Linked DNA regions of Rattus norvegicus. The protein of the gene in region 1 binds, or shares a complex with, the protein of each later gene. Links are inferred from orthologs where the notes say so. Each region holds a gene or a part of one and is shown in the gene's direction. Other genes may lie near its edges.

Region 1 (4,273 bases):
CCCTCTTCTGGTATGTCTGAAGACAGCTACAGTGTACTCACATACATAAAATAAATAAATCTTTTAAAAAATATCTGTGATAGTTATTCTTGGTTGTCCATTTGACTACATCTGGATTTAACTAAAACCCAAAAATGGAAAAACACACATGTGAACAATTTTTGCCAAGTCTGAAGCAGGAAGACCCACTGGTTTTTGTTGTTATTTTGTTTTGGAGACAGGATTTCTCAGTGTAGCCCGGGCTGTCTTGGAATTTGCTCTGTAGACCAGGCTAGCCTCGAACTCAAGAGATCTGCCTGCCTCTGCCTCCCCCATGCTGGAAGACTGCTTGGTGGAAGACCCACTTGTAATCCAGATCTTTGAGGTGGGAGAACACACCTTTATTCTTGTTACTCAAAGTCAGAAGATACACCTTCTGGTGGAAACTAATGTAAAGACATGAAGCTTTTTCTCCCTGCCACCCCCCAGAGCAGGGTCTCTCTGTGTAGCCCTGCCTGTCCTGGAACTGACTCTGTAGACTAGGCTGGCCTCAACTCAAGAGATTCGGCTGTCTCTGCCACTACCGCCAAGCTGCTTTTACTCTTTGCCTACCTGTTCTCACTCTCATTGGCAACTCCACTCCTTCACTGTCATTATCTTCTTTGGGATTCTGATGTACAATGAAGATCAACTGAGACATCCACTCTCGTTGACTGAATGACTACTGGAATTTTGAACCTTTCCATTTATAGAGCCACATATATACTATTTTAAAAATAAAAATCCAATATTAAGAACTAAAAAATCAGGGGTTGGGGATTTAGCTCAGTGGTAGAGCGCTTGCCTAGGAAGCGCAAGGCCCTGGGTTCGGTCCCCAGCTCCGAAAAAAAGAACCAAAAAAAAAAAAAAAAAAAAGACCAAAGAACTAAAAAATCTTGCTAAGTCCCCAAGCCTGTGCAATAATATGCAGACACCTGGCTAGAATTTTAAATTCCTTCGGTTCTACTGATTCCCCGGGGTCCAAAACCCAACTCCTTAGCCTCCTACTCAGGGTGACACCTCACACTGCCACTATGAGGCTCGCCGGAACACTGCGGCCAGACAAAGCATAAACACTTGATCTGAGTGACCGGCGTCGCACCCGGTGGGCGTCACGTGACAGACTCGGCGTTCCTCCAATCGCTGTGCGAATAGTAGGGATTCCATCTAGTACTTGGCCTCAGGCTTACAACGCCCTGTTGTTCCATTCCTCAACCGGGCCCGCTTTTTACTACCAACCAGCTGGCAGTGACTCTCAAGTGTTTTCCTCTCAAGCAGTTTCGAGGGGCTCGGGCCTATAGCGCACTCAGCTCCGGAAGTGACGTTTCCCAGAGGGGCCGGAAGTGGCAGTGGAGGGAGGGAAGATGGCGGAGGTGGTGAGTCCGGTGCCCGGGGCGGGGCGGAGGGAGCCAGGGGAGGTGGGTAGAGCCCGAGGCCCCCCAGTAGCCGACCCTGGCGCCGCGCTGTCTCCCCAGGGGGAGATAATCGAGGGCTGCCGCCTGCCCGTGCTGCGGCGCAACCAGGACAACGAAGATGAGTGGCGTGAGTGACGTCGGGGGGCGGGTCCAAGGAACCTGAGGGCGAGGGGCGGGAGGGAGTCAACGATCACACGGGAGGGGGAGGGGCTTCTGCAATCCTGGGGCGGTCGCAGATACTCGGAAGGAGGGGCGTGACTTTTGGACGTACGGAGATGATCCGGGCGGGGCTTGGAGAGAGGTGTCACTTGGTGACTAAAGGGGTCTTGAACTAGCCCTTCTAAGTGCTGGGACGTAGACATCCAGCCTAGAGGTGGAATTCAGGTCGAAGGGTGGAGTCTCATGATCTGCCTTGATTAAGACCCCCTGTCTGTGTTGTTCCCTTAGCCCTGGCTGAGATCCTGAGCGTGAAGGACATCAGTGGCCGGAAGCTTTTCTATGTCCATTACATTGATTGTGAGTTCTGGGCCTGGAAAAAGTGGGTTGCTGGATAGGGTTGAGGGCAGCCTCTGGCATCCCTCCTGAGCCATTTTCACTGCTGCAGTCAACAAACGTCTGGATGAATGGGTGACTCACGAGCGGCTGGACTTAAAGAAGATCCAATTTCCCAAGAAAGAAGCCAAGACACCTACCAAGAACGGACTTCCTGGGTCCCGCCCCGGCTCTCCCGAAAGAGAGGTGGTGAGTAGGTCCCCCATTTCATCTTTTCTCTCCTGCCTCTTCCTTCTTGCATCTCTTGGCCTCAGGGGTTCCTGAATGGGCAGGAGGCAGCATTCTTTTGCCATGGCTTCAGCTTGCAAAGGATGGGGACCAAATTGCAGGTGTAGCTTCCAGAGTCCAGTATTGCCTTGCTTTAGAGAAGGCAGAGGGTGGGATTTGATCACTCCATGCTGAGGGGCCCATCCTCCCCTTCGCCATCCCACCACCATCCCCACCCCAGAGGAAGACCCTGGACCTATCTCTACAGCCGGCCTCCGCCCAGGCCAGCGGGAAGACCTTGCCAATCCCGGTCCAGATCACACTCCGCTTCAACCTGCCCAAGGAGCGGGAGGCCATTCCAGGTGGCGAGCCTGACCAGCCGCTCTCCTCCAGCTCCTGCCTGCAACCCAACCACCGCTCAACGGTACCCTCAGCAATTCCAGGGACCTTGCTTTCTTCTCAGGTCCCACCTTCTCTACCTTCTGACCCACCTTTCCTGGTTTCTCTCTGCAGAAACGGAAGGTGGAGGTGGTTTCACCAGCAACTCCAGTGCCCAGCGAGACAGCCCCAGCTTCAGTTTTCCCCCAGGTGAGTCTTCCAGTCTTTTTACATGTATGAAGGTTTTGTCTGTGATAGTCATATGTTCTACTTGCATGCCGGGTGCAATGGCCAGAAGAGGGCATTGGATGCACTGAACTAGAGTTGTGTGAGCCCCATGTGGGTGCTGGGAAAGGAACCCATGACCTCTGGAAGAGCGGGATTCTTAACCACTAAGCCACCCCAACAGCCCGTCTGGTCTTCCCCCCTCTTCTGTCTAGCATCCTCCTCCAGGATCATCTCATGGTCACCCTTTTTCTTCTGTCATCCACAGAATGGATCAGCCCGTAGGGCAGTGGCAGCACAGCCAGGACGGAAGCGGAAATCTAATTGCCTGGGCACTGATGAGGTGGGTATCAAGGAGCAGAGGAAGAGGGAAGCTGGGAAACAGGGAGTGGACTTGGGCATGGAGAGTTCATTCAGTGACCAATTTAAAGCAAACAAGGTGTTAGTTAGGCAGTGAGGGTGTTGGTTGGGCAGTGAGGGTGTTGGTTGGGAGCCAAGCAGATGAAGCATTGGGCTATTTTGTTTGTTTGTTTGTTTGTTTTGTTTTGTTTTGTTTTTTTACCATACCAATTTCTGGTTCTTGGTTTATTTTGGAAAGTGGAGATTATGATGCTTGCCCCTTAGTTGATGGTAGACTTGAAGGAAGAAACCTACGGCAGTGTTGTGAGCCATGTTCTGCTTACCTGCTGTTATCTGGTATTTTCCATTTGCCCTGGGCAGGATTCTCAGGACAGCTCAGATGGAATACCGTCAGCACCACGCATGACTGGCAGTTTGGTGTCTGACCGGAGCCACGACGACATTGTCACCCGGATGAAGAACATTGAGTGTATTGAGCTTGGCCGGCACCGCCTCAAGCCGTGGTACTTCTCCCCGTACCCTCAAGAGCTTACCACGCTACCTGTCCTCTACCTGTGCGAATTTTGCCTCAAATATGGCCGTAGCCTCAAGTGTCTGCAGCGCCACTTGGTATGAAGGGTCTTGGGAGGCTGCCTACCCAGTGTACCCTCACCAGTCCCCACCTGATCCTCCTTTTGTCCTTAGACCAAATGTGATCTTCGACACCCTCCAGGCAATGAAATTTACCGCAAGGGCACCATCTCCTTTTTTGAGATTGATGGGCGGAAAAACAAGGTCAGTGGCTTGTGCATGGGGCTGGAATACATCATATGAACAACCTTTTCCTGCTCAGAACAGTTGACCACTCTGGCTATAGATTAGTTCACTGTTTTTATTGAATGCCTGACGTAGAGCTGGGGAATGCACAGAACACTGGCATTTAGATACATTCTCTTCCCGGAGAGGTCACTGTCCATGGCAGAAGTAGACATACCAGCTATTCAGATCCCAGTGTGAGGAGTATCGGAAACAAAGGCTGGGTTAGCAGAGTTCAGAGGAAGCTGTCAGGAGCTTGGAGGTGTGTATGCCTAGAATTCCAGCACTCAGAGAACTCTGAGTTCAAGATTAGTCTGATATGA
Region 2 (4,195 bases), on another chromosome or scaffold:
AACAATATATAACGTATAGTTTCAGACTCTGAAAGAGGAATACTAATGGTGACACTTAATGTGCAATTTCTTAATCAGCAAAACAAGACAGATACAATGCAGGGTATATCGCAAAATATTTTGCTACACGTTCTATGGCACCCTCTAGTGGTGTCCAAAAACGAGTGTTGAATTGTAGCCCTCCAAAGCAGTGGTTCTCCAATTTTAGAGTGCATTGGATTTACTAGAACAATTTGTAGTGGATGGCCAAGCTCCATCCAGAAAACCTTTGATTTGTGAGACATAAAGCAGGGCCTATGAATCTAATATTCTGATAACTTACCGAGTTTTACTGATGCTTCTGATTTTTGGAGAACCGCTCTAAAAAACCTTTCCCCTTTGCAGCTGAAGACGTGGCTCAGCCATTAAGACCACTTGCTGCTCTACCAGAAGACCCGAGTTAGGTTCCCAGCATCCATGTCAGGTGTCTCAGAACAGCCAGTAATCCCAGCTCCGGAGGATCCAGTGCCTCTGACTTCTGAACACATACACATGTGTAGAAATACCTAATTAAAAACAGTAAAATTAAAATCTTTTAAAAAACCTTCACCCTCGGGTGGATAAATACATATAATTAGTGCCTGAAACCTATTTTTGGCTGATTATAATGTAGTACAATTCTGTTAAGAAAAAGAAATACCTATGGGAAGGAATTTAATACATCTGAAATATAGAAAATATTAAAAAAAAAATCGATGGTCTGACTGGGGAGATGTCCGGGGAGGGGTAAATGTCTGCTGCTCAAACAGGAGGGCCTAAGTTCAGTTCCCCAGCATATATATAAAAGCTGAACACAGGGCACTGATCTATAACCCCAGTGTTTTAAGGGGGGCTGTTGGTAGAGACAGGCAGATCCTGGGAGTTCAGTGACAAGCCAGAATAGCACATAGAGTAACTCCGAGTTTACTCAGACCCTTCTGTAAAAAAATAAGGCGAACAGCAATAGAGGAAAAGACGTAAAGAAAGGTGAACTTTAGCCCCAAAATGCACAGGCCACACAGGTACATAAATTAAAAAAAACCACACACACCTCAGGGCTATGTTATTATGCGCTCTGAAACCTAAGTGAAATGTTTTACTATTTCCTATCTGACTCTAAAAACACAACCGAGTTTTTCGGAATGTAATGAGAATAGTAAAAAGAAATGCCCTTTGTCTTACAAAAACAGCTTAGTCAGGAGGAGGTCCAGGACACCCAAGGCTGTACCTGATAACCAGCCCCCAATGACATCAGTCACTAAGATAACCAGACACAGGACAAGAATCCCATGACGCCCGCTACACAGCGAGTATATAAGCAGGAAGATCGAGCGCATCGGTCTTTTGCTGCACACCTGGAGACACACCTTGAGCTGCCCTGCAGCCAGAGAGTCTCCTCGGGCTCCTGCATCGGAGACTAGGCCTGATCTTCAGGTAAGGGCGTCACAAACGTGAGCTCCCTTGGGAAAACTGTAGTTAAGAACCAAGAGTGTTGTGTGATGACTCTCGCCATGATAAAATAGAATTTTTGGTATACTAAGCTTCTACCTACTTGCTTAGGAGGGCACAGAACCATCACATAAAATTGGGGTGTAAACACCCATACCTGATAAGTTTGAAGAGGAAGATAATCCGCAATGCTGAGGTCTAACTTTACCTCCGAGTTACCTTTACAGACTGACTAGAGGAATTGTTAAGTACTGAAAAGCGGGCAAAAAGCAAAAAGAATATTCTTTCATGGATTTATTTATGCAGAGACAGGGTCTCAATATATAATCTATGCGGCCTTTAATCTAGGGCCCTCCTTCTGCTCAAGTGCTCATACAGCTCACAAAGGGTTTTAGCATCAGAATTTAGGCCCATGTATCAATCCTGAGTAAAATCAAAAGGCAAGGGAGAAAGAAATGCAAGAAGAACAGATGACTTTTTCTCTTTAAGGAAATTAACCAAAATATTCAGATATGTAATTCCTTGCCTAGTATTATTACTTCACAGAACTTGATTTTATTCTTAAGAATTTTATATATATATATATATATATATATATATATATATATATATGAGTCATCCAGAGATTACGGATCCTGTAAGAAGTGGGTGGAGCAAAAAATTAAATCTCACAATCCCTGGGAACCCAGCAGTAAATCCTTTGCTGGGATTTGGTGACATCTAGTGGCAGATTCAAGAGGTATAATGCTCATCCAATGAACTTTCTGGAAAACTGACCGAATGTATATTGGATCGCTACGCTTGGAGATTAGGACAAAAGGTAGGTGAGGCTTAGCATCCACGGGAAATTGGCATAGTCTGTATCACTGGGGAATTTTTTTTTTTTTTGGTTCTTTTTTTTTTTTTTCCGGAGCTGGGGACCGAACCCAGGGCCTTGCGCTTCCTAGGCAAGCGCTCTACCACTGAGCTAAATCCCCAACCCCTGGGGAATTTAATTGTCTTTGTTTTCGTTAGAATTATTTCTACCAATTTAGCAATAAACTTGGTGGGGGGCAAAAGGGAGGTTCTCAGTAATCTTGGTGAGGGGCAAAGGTGAGGCCTTGGAGACAGAGAGGGCGGGGTGTACACTTGGAAACTTAAAAGAAACGCCCTTTTACGTTACTAATATAGTTTTGAATGCTCACCATGGAAGAAGTTTATTTTGTTGGACTAAATTGTGGGAATAATAAGCATCTTTAGGGTCTAAAATTAAATCAGACTGGGTGGGGTGGCCGATGCTTTCAATGCCAGCGCACGGGAGGCCGTGAAGAGACAGGTGGGTCTCTTGTGTTCCAGGCCTGCCAAGCCTACGTAGCTAGAACAGGCCTCATAAATAAAGAAAATAAAATAAAATAAAATAAAAAAGAAAGAGCGAGCAAAGAAAGATAAAAAGGGGGGATTAAATTAAATCAGCAGGCTTTTCTAACAAAAGGCCTTTACCTCTGTACTAGTACTTTCTTGGGTCTTATTTATTAATGCAGTTTGCAAACATCAAAAGGCAGAAATGCACCAAAATGAGGGACCTCACCTACACACACTCTCAGGGCCCCTCCCGCCACCGCGAGAGCTTGCACGCCTGCGCACACCCATCATCCCCGGCGCCACGAGGGCGGCTGTTCGCCCACACCCACACTCCACAGCCACGCGAGCGTGCCCGCGCGCATACACCCCAGTTCTCAAGGCATCCGGGCATCCGCCCGATGGCACTCACCACCCTCACACGCATACACCTCAAAACCTTCATTTTTCCTTTTGGTTTGGTTGGGTTTTTTTTTTTTCTCCCGTTCTGAGGGTTGCGCAACAGGCTCGGGGGCGTGGCGCTGGTTTGACCTCGCTCTTCCCACTCCCGGGAACCTTAGCTCATTTCCGCCTATCCTATTTCCGCAGGCCACGTCGGCACTTCCTTTCCCTGTGGTGCGGGGGCGGGGGAGGGGGAACGGACCCACAAACCCATAATGCCTCCCTGCAGGAGAGAAGGAGAGCGCGAGGGAAAGAAGGTGGGGGAAAAAAAAAAAACCCACGGCCAGGGGAACTCTGGGTCGTGAAAACGGGCCACGTGAACACGCTGCCCTATAGACTTCTGACCCAACGGCTGTAGCGCACTTGGAGGGCGGGCTAAGAACCTAAAAGGGCGACCGTCATTGGTCGGAGCCCGCACTGAAGAAGGACGCTCATTGGTTTGATTTGGGCCCTAACCATGAAGAAGCAGGTTGCTAGCACCCGCCTTTACTGCGGCGGAGTGTCACTGCTGACGTGGGGGCGGTGGTCCAATCATTTGGGTATGGAACATTCTAAAACTTAGACAAGATGGCTAGGATTGGCTGAAGGGCTAAGCCCGCCTCCAGGGTGACGTGTCTGCCTATGGATATCAGTTGCCAGAGAAACCTGGCTTTACTATGGCGGTTGGAGGAGCAGCGGTGGTCACACGTCGGCTGCTGGAAAGAACTGGATTCTCGTTTCAGGTTTCGGGGTGGGGGTGGGGAGGAAGGGTCGATGATTTCCTCTTTCCTTCTTGACTTGTAGATAGGATTAACTAGTGCCTTCACATTCAAGCAAAACTGGATGCGTATTCCTGCTCGCCAACGCCCAACTTGGGCAAGGCTCCTTTCTGTGTCTCGGTTTCCATGTTTGTAAAATGGTGATAATAGTAGCTATCTCGGTCGCGGATTCAGATGTGCCTAGTAAAATA

What was found. The genes of interacting proteins can lie anywhere in the genome.
Region 2: Kat5 (region 1) and Morf4l2 share a complex: the UniProt entries of both Homo sapiens proteins name them as parts of the nuA4 histone acetyltransferase complex. The link is inferred for Rattus norvegicus from reciprocal best matches to the Homo sapiens genes KAT5 and MORF4L2.

What each region holds. Positions count from the first base shown.
Region 1 is NC_086019.1:212,329,498-212,333,770, reverse strand, and holds the start of Kat5 (histone acetyltransferase KAT5), read left to right. Parts: upstream 1-1,377; 5' UTR 1,378-1,382; coding exon 1,383-1,394; coding exon of another isoform or gene 1,395-1,493; coding exon 1,494-1,560; intron 1,561-1,631; exon of another isoform or gene 1,632-1,744; intron 1,745-1,880; coding exon 1,881-1,949; intron 1,950-2,037; coding exon 2,038-2,174; intron 2,175-2,433; coding exon of another isoform or gene 2,434-2,460; coding exon 2,461-2,616; intron 2,617-2,705; coding exon 2,706-2,780; intron 2,781-3,063; coding exon 3,064-3,138; intron 3,139-3,515; coding exon 3,516-3,764; intron 3,765-3,839; coding exon 3,840-3,929; intron 3,930-4,273. UniProt on the Homo sapiens protein: Catalytic subunit of the NuA4 histone acetyltransferase complex, a multiprotein complex involved in transcriptional activation of select genes principally by acetylation of nucleosomal histones H2A and H4.
Region 2 is NC_086039.1:104,883,134-104,887,328, reverse strand, and holds the start of Morf4l2 (mortality factor 4-like protein 2), read left to right. Parts: upstream 1-1,382; 5' UTR 1,383-1,452; intron 1,453-2,127; exon of another isoform or gene 2,128-2,287; intron 2,288-3,217; exon of another isoform or gene 3,218-3,670; intron 3,671-3,780; exon of another isoform or gene 3,781-3,968; intron 3,969-4,195. UniProt on the Homo sapiens protein: Component of the NuA4 histone acetyltransferase complex which is involved in transcriptional activation of select genes principally by acetylation of nucleosomal histone H4 and H2A.